Linked DNA regions of Neodiprion lecontei. The protein of the gene in region 3 purifies or fractionates together with the protein of the main gene of each other region. This does not show direct contact. Links are inferred from orthologs where the notes say so. Each region holds a gene or a part of one and is shown on either strand. Other genes may lie near its edges. The genes, in order: mRNA turnover protein 4 homolog, ribosome biogenesis protein NSA2 homolog and nucleolar GTP-binding protein 1.

What was found.
Region 1: the proteins of nucleolar GTP-binding protein 1 (region 3) and mRNA turnover protein 4 homolog purify together in Homo sapiens (affinity purification with mass spectrometry; 3 studies listed by BioGRID and IntAct, counting the BioPlex papers as one, with this or other methods). This does not show direct contact. The link is inferred for Neodiprion lecontei from reciprocal best matches to the Homo sapiens genes GTPBP4 and MRTO4.
Region 2: the proteins of nucleolar GTP-binding protein 1 (region 3) and ribosome biogenesis protein NSA2 homolog purify together in Homo sapiens (affinity purification with mass spectrometry; 3 studies listed by BioGRID and IntAct, counting the BioPlex papers as one, with this or other methods). This does not show direct contact. The link is inferred for Neodiprion lecontei from reciprocal best matches to the Homo sapiens genes GTPBP4 and NSA2.

Annotation. Positions count from the first base shown.
Region 1 is NC_060261.1:34,233,216-34,243,164, forward strand, and holds mRNA turnover protein 4 homolog, read left to right. Parts: upstream 1-4,910; 5' UTR 4,911-5,089; coding exon 5,090-5,117; intron 5,118-5,317; coding exon 5,318-5,622; intron 5,623-5,726; coding exon 5,727-5,963; intron 5,964-6,252; coding exon 6,253-6,405; 3' UTR 6,406-6,464; downstream 6,465-9,949. Other genes in the region: phosphatidate phosphatase LPIN2, read right to left, coding at 9,663-9,816. UniProt on the Homo sapiens protein: Component of the ribosome assembly machinery. Nuclear paralog of the ribosomal protein P0, it binds pre-60S subunits at an early stage of assembly in the nucleolus, and is replaced by P0 in cytoplasmic pre-60S subunits and mature 80S ribosomes.
Region 2 is NC_060264.1:30,367,367-30,378,130, forward strand, and holds ribosome biogenesis protein NSA2 homolog, read right to left. Parts: upstream 5,334-10,764; 5' UTR 5,274-5,333; intron 4,167-5,273; 5' UTR 4,145-4,166; coding exon 3,365-4,144; 3' UTR 3,210-3,364; downstream 1-3,209. Other genes in the region: protein Aster-B, read right to left, coding at 87-390, 979-1,088; ubiquitin-40S ribosomal protein S27a, read right to left, coding at 2,260-2,409, 2,528-2,745, 2,947-3,049; histone-lysine N-methyltransferase SUV39H2, read left to right, coding at 6,041-6,112, 7,105-7,168, 7,330-7,440, 8,938-10,727. UniProt on the Homo sapiens protein: Involved in the biogenesis of the 60S ribosomal subunit. May play a part in the quality control of pre-60S particles.
Region 3 is NC_060263.1:16,125,240-16,136,845, forward strand, and holds nucleolar GTP-binding protein 1, read right to left. Parts: upstream 6,147-11,606; 5' UTR 6,034-6,146; coding exon 5,986-6,033; intron 5,716-5,985; coding exon 5,441-5,715; intron 5,324-5,440; coding exon 5,086-5,323; intron 4,993-5,085; coding exon 4,750-4,992; intron 4,674-4,749; coding exon 4,419-4,673; intron 4,349-4,418; coding exon 4,061-4,348; intron 3,971-4,060; coding exon 3,692-3,970; intron 3,573-3,691; coding exon 3,429-3,572; intron 3,347-3,428; coding exon 3,191-3,346; 3' UTR 3,117-3,190; downstream 1-3,116. UniProt on the Homo sapiens protein: Involved in the biogenesis of the 60S ribosomal subunit. Acts as a TP53 repressor, preventing TP53 stabilization and cell cycle arrest.

The DNA.
Region 1 (9,949 bases), on a different chromosome or scaffold from region 3:
GCAGAATAAGGATAATTAATTAGGTATGTACATTATAATTGTTTCGGTGCAGTGTAACTCACGCCGTACGTCTACGTGCACATTTGCCAAGTGCACCGTGGTACTTTTAAAAGGGAAGGAGATGCGTACGGCGGTGTTAAGTATGCGTTCGCGATGCTCTATACCGATACATATGTGTGTGCAAAGCGTGCGTATGTCACGCATAGGTGTAATAGGTAGCTATATACACAACGCATCGTCATGCCTAGCAGCAGAGAAGAGAGAGAGAGAAAGAGAGAATAATGCGTCAGTGGCTTGGAATAGCGAATGATGTCAACACGGTACACATTTACCACGCGTCACCCAAAGAAGAGAAGCATGTGGTCAAACCCGGGGTTGTTGGTTAGGTAAAACGATGCGTCTAGGTGTACATGGTCAAGTACCTAGGCTAATCGTAAGCCTGTTTATAATACACGCGTAGCGTCTATTACTTCTATTACGCGGGATAGAAGACGACAGAGGAACGTAATCGCTAAGTAGCAACGCACGCGTTCCATTGCCAAAAATTAATGACAATGATTACAATTTTGCGGCCTGAAGGATCCCCCCCCCCCCCCCCCAAAGCTCGCTAATCAGATCGTTACACGGTCAATTATTATACGCATCACCTGTCGGGCATTCGATATTCGTTGATTAAATACGTAGTTCAATAACTGATTGTCTTATTATTTTCGTTATTCTACTAACAACTATATTATATCATATCACATTGCAGGTGTGAGCGATTTTTTGCATTGCAATTGTGTAATTAACGATGGATCAAATTCTTGTCATCGATTTTGTTCTTTGACGGGTTCGAAGTTTCTTTTTCGTTATTCGCCAGATGCGAATTATTATCGTTGGGTATGTGTATGCGTGTATGTGCATTAAGCAACGTATATTATAATGTATTTGTAGTGAGTCTACATATACTGAGAACACACGTACATCTGAGGATCGAACGATATTACGATGTAGAGTATTTTCATCTCCGCGAAACTATACGCATACATATATTGTAATATAGGAATACGTAAAAACGTTTGAAAAAAAAAAAATAACTGGCAGTTTTATACACACCGTATTTAATTGGTAAGTTATTTTTTCATTCCTCTTCTTCAGATTACAGCGCATTTTGTGTTCAAGATTCAACAACGGTATGAAAACTATTGTGTTATAGGTATATATAAAAATATATATATATATATATATATATATATATATATATATATATATATATATATATATATATATATATATATATATATATATATTCATATACACATGCATATAAGTGGAACGATTCTGACGCACAATTATTTTTTCTGACATAGTTAATACATAAACTATATATATTCTTTTAGAATGAATAGTTTGTACTGACGTTTTCTCTCCTTTTGTGAAATGTGTGCCCAACGCGATGATGTTTGGTTTGATATAATGAGCGTACTAAAGAAAAAAAAAATGTACATGCAGTATATTTTATACTCAATGAAACGGACGCAGCATGCGGTTCAACGCACGCTGTCCATCGCACTATGCGTGTTATGCGCGTATGTAACTCGTTGCTGATACTACAGCACCGAACCCAAATTCTTAATTTGGGAATACGAGAAATGACACGATGTTCAAATCCAATTCGATTCAGTATTGGCTAAATACACACTGCACTATACGTATCCGAACCTTTATTTTTTGGGAGGGGAGTAAATAAAGGGAAGTAAGAAATAGAAAAACACATCTGATCTCTAATGTGAACTTTTACGAGAGGGAAAATTCTTTCACATCCAATGACGTATGTTAATATAAAAAACGGAAAATTTATAGGATTGCTCCGTTTTCCTACCGCTGACGGAGTCGAGAACGCATAAATCTGACGTAGTTCATCAGCTAATGATATTATATGTATAAGTATATTTAATCAAATTTGACGCGGTTAAGATATGAATTGAATTTTTCTTGCGAAGTTTTAGATATAACGTATTATCGATACTCTATTTTCAGGTTTGACCGCGATCATCTGCATGTGCGATAAATTCCGAATAAAGAAAAAGAGATTTTCGCCACCGCCGTAAGATATCTGTCACTGTCACGCGATATGAACCGGAAGTATCAACCCGTAACAAGATTTTGCTGACCGTTACAGCACAGATTTTGCGTTTGATATAATATACATACCTATATAGAATCGTATAAGTAGCAGGAACGATGGTTACGGTAAATAAATACATCGTAGCGATTTCAGACATTAGCTAGTTGTGGAAAATTTTTTGAAATTATAGCATCTTTACGCAAGTACGGAAAAAGTTATTTCAACTTCGAGCGTTAAAGAATTATTTGCATCTACCGGGGATATAACGACGAAGAGGAATAGTAACTCAAATATGACGAATACAACGTGCCCAGTGTACGCACAGAGAAACAAACAACGAGAGGAAAGAAAGGAAGTGTGTAAAGAGAAACTTTAGTCATTACCCATGGCAATTGCCTTATATTATGCACGTATGTGAGTGCGCGTGTGTGTAACAACCTGGTTGAGAAACTCGTCGAGATATTCGCGCCGAGCCTAATATGAATGCATCTATATTATAAAACCGGATGTGACATATTGATATGTTCGAAACAGCTTTCGCGTAGTCGTAAATGAGACACATACGCTACGCGGAGTTCGCGCATTGCATGCGAATCATTGCACCCCGCAGGTATTACAAATCGTCGGCGGGTTGCACAAACCCACATTTACTATTTTCTACACTAGCAGGCATTACGCTTGATATAAATTAACGTGTCGCATCATCCTCTCTGGCACGTGACGTCACGGCTGATAGTAGTAATTTCCATACGGATTATCTCGGCAGCGACGGATCTAAGTGAGCATGCAACAACGCCGAACTCGGCCGAATGCGTTCAGAAATGATAAAGCAAAAAAACAAGAAAGAGATACATTTGGAAAATAAATGTGCATGAAAATCACGAAAATCATAAAAATCTTGAGACGCCATCTGCTTATAGGCAAAGGCTTTCGACCTGCCTAGATATGCTAGATAAATCGCGGCGTAGGTACACGGCAGACGTGGGTCACACTACGTACGACACATAATGCATGCACCCACGTGAACGACGTGTGGCCTTGCTTTAATAGATTTATCCACCGTCATGTAATTGAGAATAGATTCTCTGACCAAATAAATTCGAACCAACCAGAATCAGGTGCGTGCGCTTGGAGAGGATAGAGAGAATAAAAAAAATAAAATAAAAATTAAACTTCTATGAAGCTAACAAAGAATTTCTTTGACCGTTGTTTGTTACATTGTGCTGTACGTACGTTGACCTGTGCCAAAGATTGATCTGCCAGGAATCCGATAGATCTTTGGTGCGACATGTAAGTGAACATTGATTTAATGCCGCATATTTGTGAATTTACAACGAGAATTTAAGTCACATGTAGCGATGCGGATAATATCTATTCCAATCCATCGATTTCAATAACAGCGGGGCTAATTAGTTCCCATTTGTTATTGATCAGTCTCGTACAGGTAAACTCACGGTAAGATTTACCGACACAGTAGACATAATTGACGAGAACTAATTTAGTCGCAGTTTTCATTCTATATCCTTTCGTGTGATCGTTAAAACTTTTTCCTGTTACATGATCGTAAAAGTTGAACTAAAAATGAAGTTCAGTTTGGGAAGAAAGGGAAACAAGGCCTGTTGGAGGTTTGAAGACCGGATTGAGATATTAAAGTACGTAATAAGGCGATCCACCTGGATGAGAGAAAGGGCGTGCCTAGTCGTAGGCGTTTGTCACGGTCAAGTATGCGACGTACTTCTACCAAGCTACAACTACGTGTGGCTGCGGATAATTGCACAGTAGGTATGACGAAACGACAACGATGGTACACCGTTTATTACGAAGATTTAAAAATCCGAGGACACGAATCGAGGATTGGAGAAAAAAGTGCGAGCGGTTGGCGAGAAAGAGGGAAATAGAAGAAGGACATCTCCGATTTCTCATGACCATATAAGGAGCTAAATTCTTAAAAAATGATCGCTCATAGTACGAGTAAAATATGACAGTTTGACATGCGGGTATTGAACGGCGGTAGCACGTGGTTAATGATAGTCTGACAGTCGATAAACGGTGAAATGCCCGAGCACTGTCAGACAGGGATACGTTAAATGCATGTGAAAAAGTTGGACATTTTTTTCGCCGGCAACCTGGCAAAATGGCAAAATGGCGCCCCTGGCGCCTGAGACACTCCTATTAAATGCGTCACTCGAGCCGTACCCTCCGCGGCTACATTCACGCCTATCGCCTTTACTCTTTAGGTACGATCTCGAACCGGAAGATTTAACCCGTCTACTTGACACGGAAAATCAAAAATGCCGTCATTACTGACTGGCTCGATTATCCTAGTGATAGGCGCACGACGTCAGTATCTGTATGGCTGCTCGTTTATTCGATGTGGAAGCCGCTTTCCAAAATTTCCATCATCTCTAGTTGCTACGGGGTTCACACAGCCCGCAAACGACGTTGCGCACATTTAGCATAAAATTAACACTTCTATCGTATGCACGGAATCTCCGGTTAGCGAGGATTCGGTTTCGATACATTTTTGGTTAAAACTCACCTTTTGAATGCAGAAAGTCGCCTGGAAAATCAAGGCTTCAGCGAATTTCAACGACTCCCGTCTAACACGATCTCACAGAGTGCACTGCCGCTCACCGCCGGAAACCGCCATTTTAGACTACGTTCGATTAGACACTTCCCCTACCATCGATCATAACCTATCTTCATTCGATACGCGCACCGTTTTCAACCCTTGTGCGATAAACATCTTGTGTAATTTTCGAAAATTTTATTGACATACACAATACCTCACCGATGCACTTGCAAATTGAATAAAAATGAATTAATTGTGAAGTTGAATTCAACGTAACCAAAATGGCGTCCACGTTTCCTCCTGACTGTTTACTGCGTGACATTCGAACCGGTGCTACTAGCACATGGTTTGTTTTTTAAATAGTACCTCAAAGTAATCAGACCGTCTGAAAAAACAGAAAGTGAAAGATGCCGAAGTCCAAAAGAGACAAGAAAAGTACGTAAATCACCTCAAACACTATCGCACAAGTGAAATCTGAACCGTTGTCCAGATATTATTTGCACATAACCTATAATTTGATATATACATGCTTGATAGTCGTAACTGATTTTGCATTTGGAATTATAAAAAATTCTCTAATACTAACAAGTTCTTGTAATTATTGAAAAATGATAAATTTTCGTTTTAATTTTCAGTCACACTTACAAAGACCAGCAAGAAGGGACTGGTTCTGAAACAACAGATCGTCGAAGACATCCGTAAATGTGTAACAAAGTATAACAGCATTTTTTTGTTCTCCGTTCAAAACATGAGAAATAACAAACTTAAGGACATCCGGGCTGAATGGAAGGATAGCAGGTTCTTTTTTGGTAAAAACAAAATCATGGCGCTTGGCTTGGGCAAATCTCCCGAGGAAGAAGTCGAAGATGAAATACACAAATTATCTGCCGCTCTCAAAGGCCAATGTGGGCTCCTTTTCACCAACAGACCTAAGGATGAGGTACTTGATTAATGAAAATGGCAATATACAAATATATAAATGAATTAAGCAAATATATCATATAATTATTTCAGTATTTTTAAAGGTTTTTTTATTTGGGACAGGTCTTGGACTGGATGGAACAATATGGTGAAGAGGATTATGCACGCTCAGGTTTTGTTGCAAATGAGACAATAACAATACCTGAGGGACCGATGCCAGAGTTTGCACACAGTATAGAACCACATTTGAGGCAGTTGGGACTTCCCACATCGCTTCAAAAGGGAGTTGTAACATTGCTCAAGGATCACGAAGTTTGCAAAAAGGGCCAGACACTCACTCCAGAACAAGCCAGAATACTGGTACAACATTTGTATTTGTTTAGCAGATGTTTTCAAGTATATAGATAATTCCATTATAAAAAGCTCAAAGGCTTCGGTTATGTACTCTTTTTTTTTTCAATTTGCTCTTCTGGAATTTTAATGCTAGTTCCCTCAATTTTCCATGAATGAAATCCAATACAAAATTTGAGAAAAACTGAAATCCACCCATGCATGTCACAAAAGATTTCTCGTGGAATTACGTGTATACTTTACAAAGTACCAATTTACTGAATTCAGTATGGAGCATTATTTTTGTACCTTCTTACAGAAACTCATTGGCAAGGTATTAGCAACATTCAAGTTAACGCCTCTTGGGGTATTTGTCAAGAGTGAAGGATACATGCCAATTGCTACAGATGATAACGATGATAATGAAGATGACAATGTAGAGATGGAAACAGAAGACACAACAGATACCTGAAATCAGAATTAAAAATGACCTAAAAATGTACATATTGAATAAAAAATTGTTTTTCCATTTTTGCGGTTTATCATTTCTTGAGTTTGTGAATAAAACCTACAATTCTTTTCTCTTATCTCACATTCCAGAATATCAGTGACAGCAATGCGCCGAGGAAACATGCATGTTCCAAAACAATCTAGTCCTTGAAATCCTGCTAAAAAAAAGCATGCAGTTATTAGAAACAAACGATTTTGAAATCTCTCGTCAGCAGTGCAAATATCAAGATAAATTTAATGAAAAATATTATTACCAAATAATACACAATATTTACACATTGTACATACTCATTCAATGAATAATGAGTTGCATATTAGGATTCACTATATTTTGGATCGTCGGTATGACATGGGTGAGTGAAATAATTAAACGAAATTGTACCTTTTATGTGTATAAAACTTTGAAAAAACTTTTTATTACAATTTCTGATACCAATGTGAGAAATCATCGGATCTAATCTTGTTAATCAACAGATAATATATCATTGGCTGAATGGAACTGTTCCAAAATCTAGTTGTGAAAATTCTAAAAGAGTGGCATTCAAAATCACAGCAAATAATCATAAAAAACGAAGTACTACTTCTGTAGAATCATGGGACATTTCTGATAATGAGGACAACGGAAATGCAATCACCAGTCACAATGAGCTAACGACGTATCGGGCTAATTTTATTTAGCAAGTAATCTACAGTTTTTGTAGTGTAGCTGAAAAATGACTAAATCTCAATGGTACTGTTTGTATAGTATCTGAAATGAATTCTGGTATGGTTGAATTGAATATCAGAGTGCTATTTCAAACTTTTCGACGCAATTCGTCTGCAAACGAGTACAAATAAATTTATCAACTACTTTTACAAATTGATAATACTAAAACGGTTAATTATTTTTTTCCCTTTATTATTTGAAACTTGTGTAGATTACAAGATATGATTATTACATTGAATAAACTGTTGCATAGAGAGCTTGATAATATTTAGTTCAAACTTTCATATTTAATTATTTAATCTATTTACTGATAAGGTTTTCTTGATAGTAATAGGTTTTGAGCTCAAACTGCATTCCACTTTGAAAAGGCATAATTATTCTTATCCTCGGAAGATACCTATTGTTTGTTCCCATGCGGAGTGAATAATGTTTATGTAAAATAGTGAGTGAATTGTAGAAGAAATCTTGTCAATTCTTTTTGAATGACGTTAATCAAAATAAATATAAATACGTAATATATCTTATTACGAGCAACTTGCTTTTTCAATTTGGAATGACAATCGTAATAAGTTATATTCCGCTCTCAATGTGTTAGAATTTAAATAAGTTCGACATTCTAATAGCAATATCAGCTCTCTGACAAGAGGTTTTCATTAAGATACATTAATTCATGATAATTATCACTAAAACGTATCATTTATAGGCAACAATTATGTGACGACACTGAATGTAAAGCGAAGTGAGCGAATGAAATATAGCTGTGTACACGTGTTGTTCATGTTCCTCAAATCACAGGAATTCAGATCGTCATATCGACTGGAAATTACCTAAACAAAAGGATCGGTAATAACAAGAAAAACTCGAAATATCGAATTATTTATCAGGTAATATCAAAGAAATAGTCGAACACATATTCTAAAATGAAAACTAAATTTTCTTACTAGATACGATAGTATAATACTTAACTAACAAAATCAATAATACCTGGTTACGAAATAAGTTTATATATTTTACATAATGTGACTTACAGACCTGACTAATTTATAACCTGAATAATTTATAATATATACATGTCTTACTAAACGATAATCAATTATTTCAACCAACATATAGTAATTTTACAAATTCTAACTAGATGTGAATGTCTCAAATCTTTTTTATTCCAGTGCCATACGCTTCCAATTTTCACATCAAATTCTTTTTACAAATAAATACAGAGACAAAAATAAAATTAAGAAATTATCGAAGGGTTTTATAAATATAAAAGTATGATTATCTATGTATAATATAAGTGGAAAATGATCTTTGGTAAAGTAATTACGCATTGCATTGTCAATCAGCGTTGTGTAATTACTTGATGACAAAAATAATACGGAGAGTAATACACACAACAATAAGAAAATATTAAAGATTGAGTTATTTTAATCAATGTCAACTATTATCATACTTTATCACATGAAAAATAAAATGTCACCTCTTCAATTTTTCTCTTAATTTTCTCACCTTTTCAAAACTAACAGTACAACATGTAAATTTATAAAGAATTTACCCTGAAATCTTAAGAAGTAATTCATAATATATCAAATAAATTAAACAATAAATCTACAAAAGTAATTTAGATCCGTTTCACTTCGTGCAACAATTTGAGCAGATACTAAATTTAGTTAAATATAACTTTATCTATCCCCTTGCTCGTAATATCACAATCCAAAAGTCAGTCCTTTTATGTTCCAACTCACCATGATCAATTTGTAACACCAACTGAATAGAAATCTCATTTAAAGAAAATAAATAATAATTGTCTGAGTAACATGGACAAGACAAGAGGTAAATGTTATACACCTGAATTATTGGTTTACAATCAAAACACTTTCAGTGAAAAGCTGGCAGTATGTCGTAAGCAACAGATACTAATCTTTTACAGATTCAATTTCTCATCTTTCTTAAAGCAAAAGCAAAACACGTTGACGACGTTTAACCGACTCTCAGATTTCAAGTAGTATTGATTTTATTCAAGTAACTGCCGGCTGTTCCTGCTACTTAAGCTGCTAGGTGCAGTATGAAACCGGCGTGACGTATGCGATGCAAGGAACTAGTACCGAGATTGACAAATAAATAAACAACTGAAGTCCACAAGTTACGTGTTTCACTATGTATCACCTATATTGGAATGTTTTTGGAATAAACAACGTAGACTATGTGTTTTCATAGCGTAAAGTAAAGTAAAAGTGGTCGTTCATTTGCTAGTCATTTAAAAAGAAAAAAGAACCGAAATAAATATTAGAAAGCTATGAAAAATACGGGGAGTCAATTCTTTCATTGCAACAAAATGTTTCTTCTTCTTATAGTCAATGACAATTTTGAATGAATAATAAGACAAAATATTTCGTAGCAACACGTCAGCCGGATCATCAGCTGCATCAATACACAGAGTATAAAACTTAGCTAGACAGAACAACTGTTTTAATAAATAATGAGCGATTTATTATTGCTCAGGTGTCGAGTGAAGACGTTTATTGCGTGGTTTGTGTCTCAGTGCTTAGTACTTCTAGATCCGGCAACTCAGGAATTGGCTCTCGCCAGTAAGCAAAATTGCTAAATTCGTCAGTTGCATCTTCAGGCAGGGGGGGAAATAGATGATCTACAATATAGCTCATGTTCGAGTATCTGAAATATAAAACAGAGATAGTAAATTTTTACAAGTTTGGCTTACCACGTGAACATTTAATTAACACATGTAATGTATGCAAGCAGTAATGATTTAGCAGCAGATAAATTATGTGTAACACACAGCACTTCC
Region 2 (10,764 bases), on a different chromosome or scaffold from region 3:
CTTTTCATTAAAAAATTGTATTTTGCAACTCATTCCTCTGTTCATCTCAATACATAGAAAAAATTCTTTCGGTCCTAAGATAATACCTGGTTTTGTTGATCCTCTAGTTTGCTAGGGGATATATCTTTATTGACGAAATTAGCAACATCCGAATGAGGTCTAGAGTGATCCCTCTTGGTATAGGGCCTGGGACTTGGCCAAGGTGATGGAGTAGGGCTAGGTGAAGGGCTATTGCAACCTGAGCCTCCCCCCAAATTTGTGTCAATCAAGTTAGAAGCCGATCCATCATTTCCACTGACGCCGATGGTTAGATTGGCATTTGTCAGCGACAGATTGTTGCTAGTTATCGAGTCGTGGCTGGAAGTGGAAACGTTCTCCACCGACTTGTTCCTGAAAGTAAATTTCATGCATTATTTTTTTTTTCTGATATCCCTAATGATGAGTAGAAAAATAATGAGTCAATATTTTGCCTTGTCCACTTCAGAATTTCAATCGTTTGCTTCGTTAACACTGAAGCCAGTATTGTTGTTATGTACTGTACTTATTGTTAAAATGAACAATAAAAGAAAGATGAGCAATTGCAAATAGTAATAATTGTTCCGTTGGTGTTTTCTCTTTATACAGTTGCTTTGTTTACTTTTTTATTCCATTGTTTTCGAGGAGTCAAGCCGCGTATCAATATATCTCAATGTCGTTGAAATCGCGAATGACATTAGATAGGCTACTATGAACGACAATACGAGGTAATAATTGAGAGATAAGGCAATGATGGATGGGAGGTGGATATAGGGTAATTGTCGTAAATAGACGGATCAATGCTACGCGTCTTTTAATACAAGTAGAACAATTTTTTTTCGTTGTCGCCAAGCAATAACGACGACGTTCTGTTGTCATTACCGCAACTCGGGTTTCCCCGCCTTTTCGATACTCGGAGGGTACAGAACATGCGGATACAGGAATTACTTAAGCAACACTTACATAATGGAGGTGGGGTCTCCTCCCGGGGTGGCTGAATCGTTCTCGTATAATATTAGAAGTTCTGATGCAGCAGGACCGAAATCTGTAATGTGAACTGCCATCTGCCACATTATCGGCAAACGTATCAGCGGTAAACCGGATAATCCCTGCTGTCAACAATTGTTCTCATTGTCGATAATAATACACCGCATTTAGGGTCATAATCTAAATTTCATCTGATATAACTCCTCTGACGTTCGTTTATTTCGAACTGTCTACTATAACTACTTATCGTTACAGTGCCGATTCTACACAATCTTCTGTTTCGATTAATTACCACTGGACACGAAACAAAACACCTACCTTGACGTTTCACATGTTTTGTTTTTTATTTCTCCGTACGTACGCACTGACTAATGTCTCAGACAATAAGGTACACTAGGGTAACGTACACTTTGCGTCTTATTGAATTTGTCAATGATTATATTACACCTGTTTTCATTATTGTAGAATTTCTATACGACCCCACACACAGCACTTGCGCGATGTGTATAAACACCAAATCCTAATTATTTGTGTATACACTTCTACGATCGTTTGTTTTTCAACGTTACTTTCAGTAAAGTTTTTCGCTCACTCTCGATTGATCTACCAGAGACGCGCTTTCCCCGAGACCAAATTTGCAAATGACGAAAAAAATTTGTAAAACTCTATATCTGCCACTTTACATGCCCGCACTAATAATAATGAGATACTTCACGATCATGAAGTATGCAAATCAAAGGAGATGCTAGCTTCCCGGGCACCGGTTGGTATCTAACTGTGGTAGTTAGCCAGTATCAGGTGGGTCATTGCGATTTTTCACCGCGGTAGCGCTCATGTTGTTTCAGTTCAGCGGTGTTAATAACGGTAACGTTAGACGCGAACTGTAATAAATTAGTGAAAAAGTAAAAAGACCCGGTGGGTAAAAATATCAAATATTGTTCCCAACCACTTCCTAACCATAAAAAAACAGGGTAGAAACGAACAATTGTTCAATAGTGAGAAAACTTCATTTTTCACGCAATTCAGTGATCCCTGGGTGATCCATTCGGGATTACTTTTATTTATATTTTGAACTGACTTGTCTAGTGTCATATTTGCAATTGTCATTAGTAAATATGATAGCAAAAAAAGAAAGAATTAGCTGAAGGTCGAGGGATATGATAATTACTATTGATTGAACTGATTATCCGAAAACAACTAATATTTTATGTTTAAATTTTTTTTTTATTTTGTCGTTATGTATACGGGATACACATATTATTTATCTTCAGGCTTGTTGAAGACGAGAGTATAGCCACATTTTCCGCAGTAATGACGGTCTTCCATGGCTGCCATGAAAACTCCGGCACCGCATTGTTCGGAAGGACATTCTCGTCGTAGACGATGAATCTTGCCATTCTCGTCGACCTAGAAACAGAGGAATTTGAAGATTTTATTCAACTATACACTGTTTTGTTTCTTTTTCACATTCAGAATGGAATAAAGGAAATATGCAACTGTGAACACATAGTAATAATTAATGTACCTTGTAAAACTTGAGGACAGCAAGCTTAACCTTCTTCTTCTTGTGCTTGATCTTCTTGGGGGTGGAGTAATTCTTCTTCTTGCGTTTCTTGGCTCCACCACGAAGGCGGAGTACCAAGTGAAGCGTAGATTCTTTCTGGATATTGTAATCGGAAAGAGTTCTTCCATCCTCAAGTTGCTTGCCAGCAAAAATCAAACGCTGCTGATCAGGGGGAATCCCTGAAGAAATCAAAGCAAATCGTTACATTTTTCTTCTCTTTTTTACTGACTATTTGATTTGTGGCCAGAACTTTCAAGATTCCCTCTTTTCGAGTACATTTGTTGCGCTTAATCCTACCCTAGTGTGTTTAATAGTTAAATGGTACAATTTGATAAAAATTTCATCTTCTTGGTATTTTCGCTTAGTCCCAACTAAATTACCTTCTTTATCTTGTATTTTTGCTTTCACATTTTCAATCGTGTCGGAGGCTTCCACCTCCAATGTGATTGTCTTCCCAGTTAAAGTTTTGACGAATATCTGCATGATGGTTATGGTCTAGACCAGCTGTAAAAGAAAAACGGAAAAAATATACATGTGTCTACATTGAAATCTCACCCTGAAAATGTGTTGGCTGGGAAAAATAACCATACAAAAATGATACAATTAGAAATTAGAAAAATTGGGGAAGAAAAAAAATTTGCCATATTTCAAAAATTACTTTATTTCACTTTTCATTTCTCAATTAAACTTAATGGTATACAGTGATTGAATACAAGTAGAATAGTCCAATGTTTGAATTAAATAATAAAATCGAAGAATATGTGTCAAGTCTTTAGTTTGGTTTGCTATGAACAGTGATTAAACTAACAAAACTGCATTAATGCAGCCGTCGTTTTCGGGATTATTGGTAACTTGGGCATATTTACCCCATACAACTTTACCGGACTGTGTAACAAGCCCCAATTCGGAAATATTCACTTCAATAACAGTACCCTTAGTTATAACGCCAAGAGTTGTGTACATGGCTGAGCTCGGATTTTTTTTAACACCAATAATTGGGAGACAGAATGTGGCTTTTAGTTCTGGATGAGTAACGTGTGCCTTCTTGAATCTGAGAGCCATAGGTCTGATGAACCTCTCAAACTTTGGTGGTTTCCTGGTAAAACTTTCACCAACAAATGTTACTTTTGTCACCATTCGCTTCCATGCTTTCCGCTTGGATTTTCCAGTTCGCATCACCTTGAACACCTCTGAGTCTGACTGTGCCCTTACTTTTGGTATCGGGACATCCCATTTACCAGCCTTTTCTTTACGTTTTTGTTTTATGAGGTTGGATAAGACTTTCGCGCGCGAAGAAACGTCCCTGTCCAGCAGGTAAACTGGAAGCGCTCCCTCTGGGGTGGGTTCAGTTTTCTTTCGGACATTTTTCTCCTCGTGAGCCTTGATCTTCTTTTTCATCTGGATCTTCTCATTGCGGCGTTCTTTGTTAAAGATCTTTGCCTTCAATCCTCGCAGGCTGCGTGCTTTTTCTGCACGTTTGTGAGGTTCCCTAGCCTCTCGCTTACGCTTGCGTTCTTCATAGTCAAGCCGCCTTCCATACAAGGTTCGGAAACGGTCCATATACTCATTTTGTGGCATTTTGTTTTCTTACATCTGCTTGCTGAAACAGAAAATTTCTATGTCTTTTAATTAGCACATGTCGATGTTCAGATTTGGACAGTTGGCTAATTGATAATTACATATTTTATATATACTTGGTTTGAAAATTTACAAATAAATTTGATCTATTCTTTACAGCAAAGAACTTACCTTAGACTTTTTTTCAATCGTCGATTTCACAGATACACAGACATTACCTGTCCAACAATTATTTTTTCTTCGATCTCCCCACTTCAAGCCAAGGAATACAAAGCCATGATTTCTGGTTCTTGAAATTGACGCAACTTGTGATAACTTCTTAACAAACTCAATTTAATAACGCTAATTGAAAATATCTAGTTTTGATATAAAATTATTCAAATTCATTGAGTAAATGGAATATTTGCTTTCACAACTTCAGCAGCTACAACCAGACTGCCCAAATCTTGAATTAAAACGTACGAGTCTTATAATATAATTGCGTGATCGTACAAATATTGAGATTTGCAGACTAGCGATTGTGGTAATATTGTAGAGCGCGAAACTTGTACCGGTACAAATGTTACGCATAAGCTAAAGATGTACCCGAATCAATGAAGTAAAACTGTTGTATGACAGCAAAAAGCAAACATATCAAAACATAATAGAAAAAAAAACAGTAAGTTTGATGTAAACTATTTCATGAAATACTTTGGATTAGAGTCCAAAGGTTCGCCAAACACTGCCCCGTGAGAATAGCATGTGGGCGATTGGTGACGGAGGTTATTTTGTAGAAAATGAATGCTGCGAAAAAACATATGACCTTTAGCTAAAATTACATACATTTCGCTATGTTTCTATTACAAATCAGCGACTACCGTTGAAGATCGTTAGATTTCAATAGTCATCAGCGGTATCGCCAATGCATTTTGTAATGGAGAAGAGCACGCGCTGGACCGACCAAGTGGGCAGAAAAACGTGGCAAATGTCAGGATTAGGTAAAAGTAGTATTGGATCACAGCAGGATCGTTTTCGCGCATTTACAACAGCAGTTAAGCAGTTTCGATAGATAGAAATGTCGTTCAGGGCGTTAAATACCGCAAAATGTTAAGTATTTGAATGAAAATTAGAGAAACATATTCTAACTCACCTACAGCCGACCACGCCAGGAACAGAAAAGACCGCCGAGTATCGAAGCGGCTTAGAGGGAAAGTCGAGTGGATAAGAAATCTTTCTCCCCTTCTTGCGACGTTCACCTTATGCCATGAACCACGCAGATGCTGTGCGTTCCGTCGGTAATGCGTTAATACATTGGTATTAGACACGCTGCAATCTATTCAGTGATTTTATGTATGTATGCACACACAATCATGAATGCACAGGTCAAATTTCAATGTCACCATCGATTTATCTTACGCATTAAATCTACTATAATGTGCTTGAAATGATTGTTTAAATCGATACATAGACCAAACAGTTGACATAACGACGATTTCCATCTACCTTGTTCCGTCAGAAATTTGCATATAATATGTTTTTAGAATCAGTTGTACAGTCGGGAAAACTAAATGCTTCATTCGTTTTTTATATATACGTGCATAATTATAGTACGTCAACTATTTATTTAACGTTTCAATCGAATTTCAATGAGAGTTTCAGTCCTGTTCAAAGTTTTGGCTCGCAGCCACCAGTGAAGCGCTGTGGACACCTAGCATGACGAATCGTCAAAAGTTTGTGTCCGAAAAACTGTCACCAGATGGCGACAAGATTCTAAAGAGTTCCGGCGTTCTTTGCATGCGCATCTCTGCTTCTGCCCTGTCGCCCGTTGTCACCAATTCCAAGTTTTAGCGCCGCCAGCCGCGAGCCTAGACTCTAAATAGTTTAGAGATTTTTTATTAATTAAAGTTAATCGCAAATATGGGAGGTGACGAAGGCATCGGGGTTACAACAGGGCAGCCTAATTTATACAAGCAAGATTTATCGAAGCTCGTAAGTTCCGGCGTTAGCTATCCGCCTCGATTAGATTATCTTAGCCGACATATTTTGTACAGGCTACTGCCACTGCTGCTTTAATTCTCAAACATATTTTATCCCCTGGATATCACATTCCAGTTTGACGATGTTCAATTATTGCTTCGAAACATCGGCCGATGCTTTGCACTGATTAATTTTCGGAGAACTCGCTTAACAGCACTTTAACGTAACCTCAAACATCTATTCACGCGCTGTCCTTACACACGGTTCCGTATAATGGCGTGGCTTAGGGCTGGTTAAGAACTTCGTAGGGCCTAAACTTTGCTTTGAAATTCGCTATCCATGCATTATCATATTTACAATCAATCAACTAACTGTAATCGAGCTCCCCACATTCCCCTAGCGAATCGTGGCGCGTTATGGAGCGATTTTACGTGAACGTGCGATTTCACATGACAAATGAAAAAAAAAATATCCGTCCAATTTTGGAACGCATTATTCAAATGCATTGAATTAACGGATTCCTTCACCTGAATATGGGATAGAAACAAAACGACGCTAGGTTAGGAATCAATCACCTCATTATCTCAAATGTCAGATGGACTTGGGAATAGTTTTTTCATACAATATGTTGTAGGTTTAGAACTCATGGATTCATAGTGCAAACGAAAAATATTCACACCGCTCTACAGGAATAAGTGTATTTAACCCAAAGTAAATATTGTAACCAATTTTGATTAGCAAAGAACCAATGCACCTTGTTTCTTAGTGAAAGAATTCCAAGCGCATTTTTGTTAAATACCAGTTTAGAGACTTGCTTTCAGATATTGCTGGTTTAGAAATCAATATAAATGATGAATGAGTAAAAACATGAGTGATATCTTCTGATTTTTTTATAGTATTCATTTGAAAGCTTTATGCGAAGAATTTTAAGAAAGTTATTGATAATAAGACAAATTTGGTACTGAAATTAACCGTGAAATCATATAAACCTTTTTTTATTTCAGGATGTTGGTAAGTTGACTGCACTGTCCCGGGAAGTCATCAGCCGACAGGCGACGATAAACATTGGTAAGAACAATTTTTTGTGAGAAGTATCTAAACGATGTTATTAAAATATTAGAAACGACAAATTATACATGAATGCTAATTATTAAAATTACCTTATTATGTTTTCAATACCATTAGCATTCAGAGCTGATTAAATTACAATTTTCATTATTTTTCCACAGGAACGATCGGACATGTAGCCCATGGAAAGTCAACAATCGTCAAAGCCATTTCAGGCGTGCAAACTGTACGGTTTAAAAATGAGCTGGAAAGAAATATTACCATCAAACTCGGTATGCTTCACTTGAGAAATTATTTCAAATGTCTAATATAAAAATTTAGTTGATGATGGTATTTTTTTATAACTAGTAATAAGTACTAACTAAGTCATTATCGTATTATTCCTGAATGATTACTTTCAATTATCTAACCTTGTAGGACATGGAATGCTTCTAAGTTTTATTGACTTCTAAGAACTGTCCAAAACCTAGGCTTTCCTACGAATGTCTTCATGTGAACATATCTTGTTTCAATCAACTGGAGATTGTATACAAAGAATGGATACTCATTTTTCAACCCAAAACTTTACTTGTTGATACTTTGCAGAAACAACTCATAGCATCAAATGATCTCATTGCATGCATTAAATACATAGCACATTATTAAAAATAGTATCCAACAGTCGGGAAGGTCAGGATATTTAATCAACGAAATTTCACACAAAATCCAGGGTTCGCAATGCTTTTAAGCCACGTAATTTTAGGAAAAATAGAGAAACACTTTGTGAAAATAACGGGCTATTAGGGTTTCAATATTTTTTCATAGTATTTACCAAACAGAGCAAAATTAGATACACACTAGGGTGTACGTCATTTTGGTAATTTTGAAATTTTTTTAATTGTACCCCAAAAATGTGTTTGAATTGTAGAAAAATAAAATCCCCTGTAAATATAAAAATTTTCGCACAATATTCAGACGTACCGGAGGATGACTGAAATTTTGAATGTACAATACATTTAAATCTTCGCTACATATTGATTTTTTTTTTGTACAAACTAAAATGAATTGAAAACATAAATTCGATGGTTGAGAATAATGTTTCTATTTTCAACTAAATGTAGGATCGAAATAATTCGGGGGTAGCGTAAGTATTCCGTAGATAACGACACTCCATGAAACCGTAAAAATTATGGTCTTGTGAAAAATAGGTTACTTTCAGGGAAATAGGGGATTAATGTGTAGCTCGAAAATCTTGAGCAAACTTTACCACAGTCCTCAATTTTTTTAATTTTCTGCCCGTATCCGAGAGATATTTGACGGTGTTTCATTTTAGACATTCAAATTTTGTCGCAAAGCTTCTCATTTCTCTTAAATAAAATTCGTTCAGAAGAACAAAGGCGATACAAATGTTAATGAGGATAAAAGTAAAAGATATTGAAAAGCGCAAAAAAAAAAAAAAAAAGGTGGAAGCAACCCCACGTATGAAAGTGAAGTAATAAAGAAGATCGAAGAGGAAAAAATAGCATGTAAGAACGGAAAACGGTACCTATAATAAGAGAAGGTGCAAAATTTGGCGTGTCATGAAAATAAAAAAAAAAATAAATGAATAAATAAAAGAAACACTCGTGCTGAATCCTAAAGTAAAGCACAGGGGTCGAAAATAGAAACGGATCATTCACCAAAACAATGAAATGGTGAAAGAAATATCGATTTAATAAAAGTAAATAATCTTTGTCTCCTCCATGAAATAGAACGGATGAATCACGCCGTTTAAATCTTTGGCATTACAGAGCCACACCATGCGGAGGCGATCAACAAAGAAAATGGAAAAAACAGTGTCGAAGAGGCAGATCCTGCGGATAAAAGCCCGCCTCCGATCTCCAACTCGAGTACGTCCCAATTTACAAAAAAACGTGCTATATTTCGGAGCTCTGACGCAGAGCGTCCTGTCAAGATACCACGGCTTAGCGAGGGTGATAACGATAACGACACCGATGATGACAACGACAACGAGGATGATGACGACATTATTCACACTGTGACAACAAACGGTGAGAATTCGCCCAGTATACCCGAGGAAGAAGCGGCAACGGGAATTGAGGGGCGAATCCAGGCTGAGAATTTGGTGGCAGTCGAAGTAGATAAAAGAACGAAGTACAGTTTGAAAGAAGCAGTGATAAAACTTGAAGATATTGGTACAAAGATAAACGAACTTAAATCGAGTATAAAATCTTCGAACAATCGCGAGGATTTACACGAGGTGGAGAGAATATTAGATAAAAGATATTCAAAAGGAGTTGAAGTATACGCTGTGAAGTGGAAAGGCTGGGACGACAGCTTTAACACTTGGGAACCACTTTCGAATTTGACAAACTGTGCCGAACTGTTGGCAGCTTTTGAGAATTCAAATGCCGGACTGGTTGACACGTTTAAAAACCAGATCAATTACTATCCTTCGATGATGGAGATGGAGAGTCTTATGAAGAATTTCAAGCAGACAGGAAAGATAATGGATTATAAATTGCCAAATAAACAGGAGCTGAATGAAAACATAAACAAGCTGTTAAAATGGCCCAACAGAATGAACGCCAAACTGTTGACTAAAGTGAAGTTTGATATTTTAGTGTACGAATTTCACGATCATAGATCTGCCCAGCTAAAGCTTTTGAAAGAATGGGAAAACGAGATAAGAACAATAACAAAGGACAGACCAGTAATTAAGGTAGAAAATGATGTGGACTTTGAAGGTCCGCCGCAGGATTTTTTATACGTCGACGCTTATCTTCCTGGCAAGGGGGTAACGATACCGGAAGATCCGCCAATCGGTTGCGAGTGTTTGGTCTGCGAGCCAAAGTCGATCTGTTGCGGTAAGCAGTCGGGTGGATCTTTTGCCTACACGACAGCAAAAAGGATCCGAGTCCCTCTAGGTACTCCGATATACGAATGCAATAAGAGATGCGCTTGCGATCAAAGCTGCTTGAATCGTGTTGTTCAGCACGGGACATCTGTAAAACTTTGCATATTTAGAACGGAGACGGGATGCGGATGGGGAGTGAAATCTCTTCAATACATAAAGAAGGGTACTTTCGTTACGGAGTACGTCGGAGAGGTGATAACAAACGACGAGGCTGAGAGAAGGGGAAAACAGTACGACGCGGCTGGCAGAACTTACTTGTTCGACCTAGACTATAACGAGATGGAACAGTGTCCGTACACGGTTGACGCAGCGACCTATGGAAATATATCTCACTTTATAAATCACTCTTGCGATCCAAATTTGGCTGTTTACGGTGTGTGGATAGATTGTTTGGATCCAAATTTGCCGAAACTTGGCTTATTCGCGACAAGGAATATATTGAGATATGAAGAAATTACCTTTGACTACATGTGCCAATCGCTCAGGAATACGTCGGTCGTCACGCCCAAGAAGGAAAAACTTCAAGCAGACATTTCTCCCGCTTTATCTCCTCGTCAACGACTCGAATTACCACGTGATAATGTTATTCTGAATAATGATTCTGCCGAATCCAGAGCTAGGTGTAAATGCGGAGCTGTTAAGTGCAGACGATATTTATTTTAAATTTATGCCCCAGGGAGTACAGTTATTATAATCGTAA
Region 3 (11,606 bases):
AGTTGGCAATGTTAAAGTTAAAGTATTGTAACAATGAACCAAAAAATGCATGTATGTTTATCGATCACGGTTTACTAAATTTCAGGATTATCTTAGAGTTGAGATATATCAATTTTTTCTGAAAATGGTGCATCGTTATATCAACATTGCAATCTTTGACCTTGTTTTAATGTCAGATCACAAAAGATGGGAAGCAGGGAATTAGGAAAAAGCAATGGAGGGAGGGTAGGTCGCTCATTACTGACACTATTTCCCCTTAGCAACAGCCACCCTCAGACCCCAAAAGCCGACAACTCCTACCCCCACCACTCACCCACGCTCTCGAGATATTGATTGCTCTCAACATTGTTGGTGGTCCCTGCTTTTCCCCCATTTAACTCTGTGCCATTCGTCACTTGATAGACAGAAGAGATGAACAGATAGATTCCGCATGTATTATGAGATTAGAATTAGCAATGTTGAGATGACGCGACACAGAAACAAAAAAATCATTGTTTCTTATTTTAAAATGCCTCCAAGGAGTTGAATTCCCAAAATGTAATGTAAATACATCTTTTACTTTATCATAGTTTAAGGCCATTTAATCAAATCTAAAGTTACATCAGCGTTATAGACTTCAACTATTCAATATGCTATTTGTAAGGTGCTTTGAATTGAAAAAGTATTTTGTTAATTCATGACGGTGTCTGTTGAAAAAATTAATTAGGTTATGCAAAGGCATGGCCTGTAAATAAGCGTGTTTTGATGACTTAAAATTAGGATTTTTTTTTTGGAAATTTACATCCCCGCATTCATTGGGAATTTTGCTAGCTGTTGGAAGGACAAAACATGGCAGTTTGGGAAGGATCCGGTCTGGTAATCAGTGGATACTTTACTGGTCGAGAACGGAAATGACAAGGCTAATAAATGTGCTTGGTTCGACCTAATAGCATCATGTGACAAACGTCGTTAATACAGAAATCACGCATGAATTACATTTGAATTACACTCAGAGCTACGATGATCTTTTTCAATATTATATTGGACTAAAATTCAGTACACGTCTCTTGTATTTTACTTTCTGTAGCACAAATTCACACATCTATTGTTTGGATGACAATGAATTTTGTAATTACGTGTCCAGTCATTACATGCTCAAGAGTAAAAAAGCAGAAAAGAGCGACAAGATATGAATAATCAGTTGATGACATAATAAGGTAGAAGTAAAAGTGTGAATAGTTTATAGAATGCTTGAAAATGTTATTCTTCAAATCCAAAGACATGAGAATAACTTTTGTTTATAAGATAGGTACAATGTTTATAACGTGAAACAAATTGTTTTATAAACGTTTGTGAACTCTTTTCAACAGCATATGTAAAAATTTTTGGGTTTGTCAAAATAAAATTGGTTTTCATTATTTTTTTTTATTTATCAAAATACATGTTTAAAGATACGATGAATTGCAGTTTGGAAGACTCCAGGATTTAGCGCCAAATTAATTGACGTTTTCAGAGTACGAAGATCTATTTATAGACACCTGCGCTTCTGGCATGTGTGCCTAGAAGTGTAGAAGAGTCAGGAAAAAGCGTTGAGGCTGCTGGTTCAGCGCGGTTTGCTTGCTAGGTATACGGTATAAAATAATTGCGTGTAAAAATAACGCGCGTTGGATTATCTGAAGCATGGAAAATTTCGAAGAACCGGTACGAACTGAGGGACAATTAACGTGTACGACACCGAACAAAAAGAGCGGCAAGTTGCGTAGGGAAAGTTCGTTGTGTCGATGAATGAAGTATAATTTAGATGTTTATTCGAATTTTTCGAACGCGCATTGAACGTATCAACTATTGCATTAAACGCGATGATGAAATATCGATTAAACCGAGTTTGCAATGCGGAAAATTTGAGAATTGGGGAATTGGGCAAAAGTCGACATTGCCGTTGCGGTTACTTGATGATTTTTACGGGGTATAATATTGGCGGCGAATCGAATGTCCCGATAATTCGATTACAGCGGCGTGCGGCTGCCTCCGCAGAGCTTGGAGTGAAACGACGGATATTTTCGGCAATGATATTGGCCGAATAACGAGTCTGGCGTAAGCAAACCTCATTTCCGATCGAAGGTTTGAATATCGCGTTCCGCAGCTCGTTCCGAAAATCGTTTTCGTCGGTGTAGAAAGGAGTTTGGAACGTATATACGAGGCGTGTTTGTGCCTAGGCAGCTACTATGCGTTCATTCCACTAGCCGCGAGAGAATCAAATTGTTGTACGAAAAAAAAACAACATAAAAACGTTCATAAATAAACAATAACAGCGGGACGCTGGGTGCTTACCATATTCCGGAAATCATCGACACTATTGTCACTTCTGACAAACCCGCTGTTTCACCAAATTTCAAGAGTATTTATTCAAACCGATTCTAGCGTTCACTTTTCATTCCTCAAATACTAAAAACAAACATGGCGACGGCGTCACTTGAAAATACTACGAGGTAGCGCCGCGATGTTTTCGACAAATATATTCACCCCGACTTCGCTTTAGTCAATAAAATTGTATATTTCATTTTAATTGTTGTAAATTCACTTCTATATCTTGAGCGCAAAACCTTGCTGCATTTGTTGCCTTATTTATAAGCAGGCCTAGCCGACTTCAGTCACACTTCCGCCCGCAACGGCGCTACCTCGTGTCACAACACTGAGATTCGGATTTCGTCATCCATAAACTGCCTATCCCTTATTCGAACCGAATGAATCGCCTTACGTTATGTAACACCAAACATTTACTGCAAAGCGCGGTGAAATAATTTATCGTTATAATTGTAGCACCGAAGTTATTGAATAATTTCTATTTTACAGTATGTAAACTGTTTTAATTTTCTTTCATTTGGTTGATCTTTCATCTTTTTATACAACATTCCTACTCAATGTCAGAAACACTCGTTAAATTGTCGGCTCAAATGCGAAATTAGATGAAATTTTCGTTGATCGTTATCCTTAATTTATTATCGTTATAGATTATGTAATGCTATTTATTCGCAATTTTCCACTGATAATGCTAATGAAGAATCGAATTTCACAAGTATATGCCTGGATATTTAGTTTCCGCTGATTCTAGGTAGAAATAAAGTTTGCTAGTTACATAAGTATAACGCGTATACATATGTATTTACGGTGGAGCAGTTCTGATATAAAAATATATATATATAATATATATTTATCTCCTGTCCGTTTTTCCGACTCCTCGTTTCCCAGCGAACAAATGTTTCGGCATCTTTGTCCCGATGAATCGATCGGCTTCTCCTTTCAATCCCTTTTTGCCCACTTTCTTTGCCACTGCTTTGTGTGCTATGTTTTTTAACTTCATCTTCATCTGTGATAGAGAAACATAGAGTGTGTAATTAAACTACAGAAAAAAAAAAGCTGAACTTAAAAAATGAAACTTCAGCACTTACAACATTATCCTTAATTCCCATATCATTACGAGCTGGTCTAGAACTGCTACGCGCTCTAGACTGGGACTCGGATTGAAGTCGCATCCTTTTAGTGGCAGGCTGCGATTGCGATCTAGATCTCTTTCTGGTCCTGGTGAAGTTCGCCTGTCGAATATAATGGAGAATGATTGAAGAACGATAAAATGTTCATTGCATTTTTACCTAAAACACTTCTTTCTTATATTTCATATTCATACGCCTGTTGGAGGAATATGCCAACTTACATTTTCTGTGCCCTCCATATCAACACCCAAGTCTTCCATTTGATCACGGAGCTTGGTGACGGAACGATCTCGCACTTTTGAGCCAGCTGTGCGAGGCATAACAGGCTTAGTAGAGGCCTTTGCGATTCGTGCTTCGTCTTTCATGATGGCTTTGCGGTCCCGAATTTGTTTTGCCAAGTCGCGAATCTCTCGCATAGTTTCACTCAATTCCGGAATCTTAGCATCGTAAATGCCTGCCTCCTCCCGCAGGTTTTCTTCTTGCTCCAGAGCGTTCAATTTCTGTGCATAACAAAATAGGGATAACAATAATGGGAATATGATTTACAGCATTATTTTTCGCTTCCTAAAATCGATTCAATCGACGGTTACCTCGAAAATGTCGGGGTCTATGTAGTCCGCTACGTTGTGGCCTTCCCAGAACTCCGGAATAATGTCGTACTTTTGGTCCCCTTCAATGTCGTAATTTTTCTTCAAGTCCAATACGTAATCGTCGCCCATTTCCTCCTCGATCTCACGCTCCAGTTTCCTCTTTCTTTCGGTCTTTGCAGCTGCCAATTCTTTCTTTTTGAGAATATTTTCCGGAATGCAGGGTGGCCTCGCTTTTTGGTCTCTGGCAGTGGGCTGAGCTACATGTAATCGATTCAGGACAGATTCCATCTGTTGAATAAATATAATGAGCAAAATTCGCGAGAAATTCTGTTTCATGGTTATTGTTCCACAACTTTACCTTCTTCGTTCTCATTTTGAGCTCGACTCTGTGAGCCAACAGCCGATCGCAGGCTTGAGTCTTGACTTCCATGACCCCATAGTCAGTAATTGTGCTCATTTCAATTACCGGAAGGTCAGGATCGTCCTCGAAAGGCTTTAGAGTTTCACGTTTGTCTTCCGGCAGCTCCTCCAGTCGAAGAACATCAACTTTATTCAGAACGATCATCAGTGGCTTGTTTGTGAACAAAGGTTTGATGGACTCGAAAAGCTTTACCTGCATAGGTAATTAAGTTTTAATCACAAATGCACATAAAGTCACAGTCGGTGATATTTTCTTTTGAATAAATTACCTGTTCCTCTAACGAATGGCCGCACTGCTCAGATATATCAACAAAATACAAAACTGCAGCACGTAAATGTGCAAGCGCTGTGACAGCCTGCATTTCTATAACATTTCTCTCCTCTAATGGGTGATCTAAAATTCCGGGTGTATCTACGACTTGCCAGCGCAAATACTTATAATCTGTGTGTCCAACGTACAGTGATTTTGTCGTAAACGCGTAAGGCTGCACCTCGACGTCCGCTCGAGTGATCTGTTAATAAAATCAATCAATGTCTCAAAAGCTGTTGCTGAAAAATTAGCGATAATTAGACACATTTGCAAACCAGATTACGAGGTAATTCACCTTGTTTATGAAGCTACTTTTGCCAACATTGGGAAAACCGCAAATGATGATCGTGCGAGTATACGGATCAATGCTCGGCAATCGAGCTAAGTGCTGCCGAACCTGTTCTAGGTAAGTTAAATTTGCAGCCTGTCTTTTCATTATGGTAGCCATCCGACCCAGCGCAGCTTTCTTCAGTTGTTTACAACGATACAGGGAGTCTCCATACTTTAGAAGACGCACATAGTCTTTTGCAACGCTAAAAAAATTAGACGTATTAAATTTCAACACAGACAAGTTCTTCACTTTCGCGAGCTTGAAACGAGCAAATGTGGAAAAAGTATTAAATCGAATTATGAAAAAGAAGCATAATTACTTGTCGATCAAGTGGCGAGCAGTGTTAATCTGTCCCAGAGCCAGTTTGTAATGATCTTTGTCATACAAAACGTTCATGAGATCGGCATAGAACGGATGAACATCGTCGAGTTTTGGAAACTCTTGGATAATTTGGCTCATGCGATCGTGGAAATTTTGCTGGGTGAATTTCACCTTGCGAGTATAAAATGCACGGATTCTTGATATTTTGTAGTTTTTGTGTATGACGGTTGGTGTCTTGCGCTGAGTCTTGGATAAGATGATATCGATGAAGTCCTGTAAAACATCAGACAAGATGACATTATTAATCCTCGAAAAAATAACGGTGTGGACATGTCGATAACCTAAAAATATTGGTAACTTCAATTTTCAAGACTTCTGAATCAGTGAGTCGACGAGTCGGATTACAGAAGTGCGGATCGTTATTTGGGATTTATTGTGCAGTGTCAGAGAGTGAATGAAATTAGTACTTCTGGCTTGACATCAGAATTGAACGTGTCTTTTTGACTAGGTTAAGATTCGACGCTCAATCGAGGATCTGCTTACCTTGGCTGTCGGGACAACGGCGATCTTTTTGAAATTATACAGAGCCATTTTTACAGATGATTTGTCACTTGGGTGACAGCAAATATATGAAGAATATTGCTAATGTTACTGGGATTCCATCACGCACGTGCTGCACGACGTTCCCGAAAAGAAAGATGGTGTCGCGCCCTCCGTGGGATAATAAATCAACTAAGTTACCAGCATAGTGTAACATCCAACCGGAACGTCCGTATGTTTTATCGACTATTATTACTGCATGTTACTTTTATCAACTAACCAAACTCGAAGTATGAGAATCTTGTAACCATAAGGAATTAAAACAACTGTCTAACTATTTGGAATATCCCTAGATGGAAATAACTATGACATTCACTAACGAGATCTTCGCACTACAAAGAGCTATAATATTATTATACGTTATTACATATCACTATCATATTAACACCATAATTAACTAACACGATTATATCCAATTATTATATAGCACTCGACAATGCCATTTGTGCATTCGGAGCTGAGAGCTATACTATAAGCGACTTACGCTATACCATATAACCTGGAGTACGGAAGATTGTAAAACCATAGATAAATGTATAACCAATATAATGTAAAGATAGCACTGCTGCAATAATCCATAAAACCAGAGACTGCAAAACCTTCAAAACCGTGAATACTAATTATCCAGCATGAACTGTACCTTCCTCCGTAACGCCGTATTGTAGGCAACACGCGCAACGTTTTGAAGGCAATGCAGATCTCCAATGTGGAGCCATACAGAGCTTCATCTAGAGAACACATTAGGAAACTTACCGACGAAACGATTGAAGGTAAATCAACTCGCAATAAACTCAAAGATGCATACGTGGCAACGCCCAATGACAGGCAACCAACAAACATAAGAAAAACGTTCTAGAAGCTTCCAAGCCGATTTATATCAATATAAGAATTAATAATTACAGAAGAGAATTATATACGAAAGCACACATGTAAACCTGCTCTAAAACTATGGATTATCAAATTGTTAAATACCCTAAATTTGTTAAGATAATTATAACACAAACACCTAAGAATATTCGCAGCAGCGCGATTCTAATAATGTTAAGCAAACAGCAACTATGTCTCATAAACAATCGCTATTATAATCCAGGTGAATAACGACAGTAATCGATTATATTACATATGTAATTTTATATAGATACACGCTATAAAACTAACAAACGACGAGTAACCAATATGACATATAGACTTTGTAACGAACAGGATAGTAAGAATATTAGGAAGTAAACAGGAACTAGAATTAAGCGTATCGTGAGCCCGAAAATGCACACGGCACTAACATAAAACATGAGTCACCACTAGCGCATCCGCACTGCGATTACCATATTAGGAAATAGCTGCCGAAAGCACGAGACGGCGGGAAGAAGCACAGTAGCCGAGGGGCCAAGGGGGGCTTGCGCCCCAACAACAAAGCTCACGCAGAATGGAAAATTATAGAACAACGACCCCGCACCTACACCACCGCACCGGTGCAGCGTTATACCATATGTAAAAACTTGCAATATAGTAGTAGCTAATGAACTAAGATCACAGGCGTGCATGCGGCGAAGATGGCGTGCCCTAATTAGAATTCCTAAAAAAAGGGGGAGGTGCGCAAAAGGTGACAAAATATAAAAAAGGGGATCGTTCTGCGCAACGATCGACCCCTATAAAAACGGCGACCGATCATCCGATCGTCCACTTGGTTTCTATGACCAGATTCGTCATCTTGTTCGGGTACAGTCTCGCGGTAAAATCCTTTTGCCTTTTGCATTTAAACTTTTCATACAACGTTACTCTGCCCAAAAGTCCAGCGAGCTTTCAGCTCCATTTTGTCATATTAATTTAAGATCTTACACTAAGTAACTCCGTTTTTGTGACTTGAAATATTGAACTTATAAAATAAATCCAAGTTAATCAAAGTATCCGAATATATTAGAATCAGTTATTCCGTTAAATGCTCTCACCAATCTACGCTACAAGTCATCATATCCAGAGTATTCTCAAGAGGTAAGCCAATTAATTAAATCTTTTATCCAATAATTACTCCTTCCTCGGTTAGTTCGATTAGAGCGACAGAATGCCCGTTGTCCGGTGTATTTCAATACTTTATCGGTAATTGGTGACCCAAACTACTGATGTGAGTCTGACTGTAGCTGTGTGAATGATTCCGGTGTCTAATATCTGGAAATTTCCACCAGGTACCGCTCCGACGTCACATATAAAATTTTTTTGATTTTCCCCGTGAAATATATAATTGCGTTGTATATACTTCGTCATAGGTTTCATCGCTGTTCTTGATTTTTATGGCTCTGCCTTCGTATAAGACGTCGTATCGGTCTAGTTGACAGGAATCCTTTGGCAAGGTTTCCCAAAACGTGTTTCCTCCTTTATTGTCTACGCAATGCAACGCAATTACCGTTGCTGAAGTCACACGTTGTTCCAGATCGAAATATGATTTTATTTGAATTTAGGTTTATTTTTGCAGTATATTCGGCTAGACTGATCTTTACGTATCCTTGGACTATTACGTCGCTCCATGTTCCGTATTCGTCGGAGTATTGTATGCCTTCGCAAGTCCCGTCAAAATTCGTTGCTCCGCCAAGTGATATGGTTTTTGTCGTTATTCCATTTGGTTTTAATTAGGATATAATGCTATTAACTCCGAATCTCCACGATTTGTACAGGTGCATTTGTATGCATTCTTCTTTTGATACAAAGTGTATATATTCGAGTTGTCCGTTGCTAGTTGCCGAAATATGCGAATGCATTCCGCAGTGAAAGATCGATCGATGTATCTCTACCTTGCATTGCGTGATTCGTGCCTCTGAGTAGTCGGTGAGTTCTAGGAGCTGCATTTCGATGGTGCTAGTTACAGGTTGTAGTTTCGGCAGGTCGCATGTTCCTACTTCAAGGAGAGATACCGTGGTCAGGTTCATCATTTTCGATCCGCAGTCGTAGGCGATTAGGGCCATAGTCATCCAGATCAGTTGGGGCAGGATTGCTAGCCGGAGATCCATCTCGATCCTCTGTGGTCGTAACAGAAAATCGACTGTAATTAATGAACATTCTGGTGTTCGATAGAATTGTCTTTTGCTCTGGTGAGGATGTGTGGTTGTGGAGGAGGTTAGGACATTTTGATGATGTTATATTTCGTCAGTGTTTTGTGCGATGGGTGGTTCTTATTTTAGGCTTCGTCTTCCTTAATATTGCAATTAATTCTCTTGATTGCTTCGACTACTTGTTCCAAGACGTCTAGCCCTTTCCTTGCGGTGAGTGCTCGATCTAGTTTCGCCGGGTCTTTAGCCACAGGTGATTTTAAAGCGGTGTCTGGGTTGGGTTTTCATCGGTTACAAGGCACCGGTCCACAGAATTTTGTTTTCAGCCAATACATCATGGCTGCGGTATTTTGGTATGAGCAGTTGAAGTCCGGGTTCAATTTTGAATGTTCGTCGCACGGGGTTCCGTAGTTTTTTATGTCCGATATACCTGGGCATCCGCAATCTTCTAGGTTGATTACCGTGTTAAAATGTTCGCGCAGTATGGTTTGCTTCTCCTTGCCTTTAACGTATACAGTTTCCTCAGCGTCCAGTGAGTTTATTAATTCCTCCAATTGAGCGCGGGTGTTTGATCCGGCTTCCCAGGAAAGGCCGTGGAGACACTCTTTCAGCCAGTGATTAGTCCTTTGAATTTTCGCGGGTAGGTTAGTCCCATGTGTCTTTGTGATGAGGATAAGGTGGTGTATTGCGGTTCCGCAGCACCTTCTCACGGTGATTTCTTTAATGACGAACGTGTTATTTTTCCCTCCAAGTCCTTGTATGTCGATAACGTACATCTTTAGCCCTGTAATGTTACAACGTATAGGCGTCAGTATTATCAATTCGGTAAAGTTATGAGTTCAACAAATTCTTTTCATGGTGCAAATGAATTCATTATGTCTGGGCTATCGAGTGGGCATAATTATATGGGGTTTGCAAGTCTGATTATCGGTTTAGGTATTTGGTTTGTTAGAGGACTGGTGACGCGTATTTATTATTATTTTTTTATTGCTTGCATGTCCCTTGGGTTTAGACGGGGTGTTGGTTTTATTCTGGATCGTTGCAAACTTTTTCGATCGTGTTAACGATGTGTCCCAGTAAATTCAGGGCTATTTTCTTATATAACTCGGGCACCCTTCGTTTCGGTGTCTCCCGTCGTCGTTGACAGCTTGGCATTGCTATTTGTGGGAGCCGATTAGGTTCGTTTGTCCATTTGTCGCAGTTTACTGGCTCGCGGAAGGATTGTTTCACCCAGTGAAGTAATGCTGTGACGTTGCGGAGTAGACAGTTGAATTTAAAATCCATAAAAGAATGTTGGATGCAGGGTACTCCGCTTTCTTTAATCGCCGCTAAGGGCGGGCAACCGTGGTCGTCCAGGTTTACTATGTCGTTGAAGTATGGTCTTAAGGTTTCGACCTTATCTGAGCCCTTTAAGTAGATTCTTGTGTTCTTGTACATTGCCTCTAATGCCTTAGTTACGTCACTGGCAACGGCGGTGCCATCGTGCCAATCGAGCCCATGGTGGTGATCTGTTAATTGCTGGTTGAGCGTTTGGATTTCTGGCGGAAGAGTAGATTTTTCTGTTTCCATACGGACTATCGAATGGTGTATTGGTCCTTCGCAGCAACTCATCACTGCGATTTCCTTTATCATGAAGACATGATTTTCCCCGTGAAATCCTTGAAGGTCTATGATGTACATTTTGGAGCTGCAATCACCATAGTTTTGAATCAGTTCGGTTGTCGTTTATTTCGCATTGTGGTAGTTCCCTTGCACACAGGTTAAAGCGTTGTTCTCGTATGGCATCATTTCTTTTAAGGGATCTGTTTGGTGTACTTTCTCGTCGTACATTAGCTGTCACTCCCGCATAAGGGTTCGGTGTTTCTTTATTCCTATCTTATCGTTAGAGGTATGCTATATATATATATATATATATCCGATGTACTTAACTAAATGTATCTATGCGTGGCATGATTAGTTATGATAATGGAATTAGTTGATAATGTCCCCGATAGTGGGTCTCGTCATGGTTTTAGTTTATTAGTTCATCGTTATCGTTGTTAGGAATTTCGATTGCCAGATTGTCGATCATAAAGTGTTGCTTGACCTTGTAATTTTGATCATCAAAAAATATTGAAAATATTTCGCATAATTATAGATTCTTGGTGGCAGATCGTCGTTCCATAACAACTGACGGGTCACGCTCTTTACCCAATCTGGCATGACTCTATTGCATATTACAACAATAATCTTACCAGCTCGCTTTATTTCTAAAGTTCGCATATTTGGCTGAAATCTATCGGTGAATATTATGACCAAATTTTCCTGGTTTGTCAACAGATTCATCTGTAAAATTGAAATGTTGATGTAGTAGTTGAAATCGTAATGTTGATGAGGATTATTAATTGCGAGCGGTTGGCTTTTAGCGGGAATTGTGTGGTTGGGTATGTTTTCTTGGAGTAGGGGAAGCGTGAGTTTTTAAATTTTTGGAGTTTACTCCTTAAGAAACGATTTGAGTAAATCAAGTGTAACATTCGGAAGCTTGAG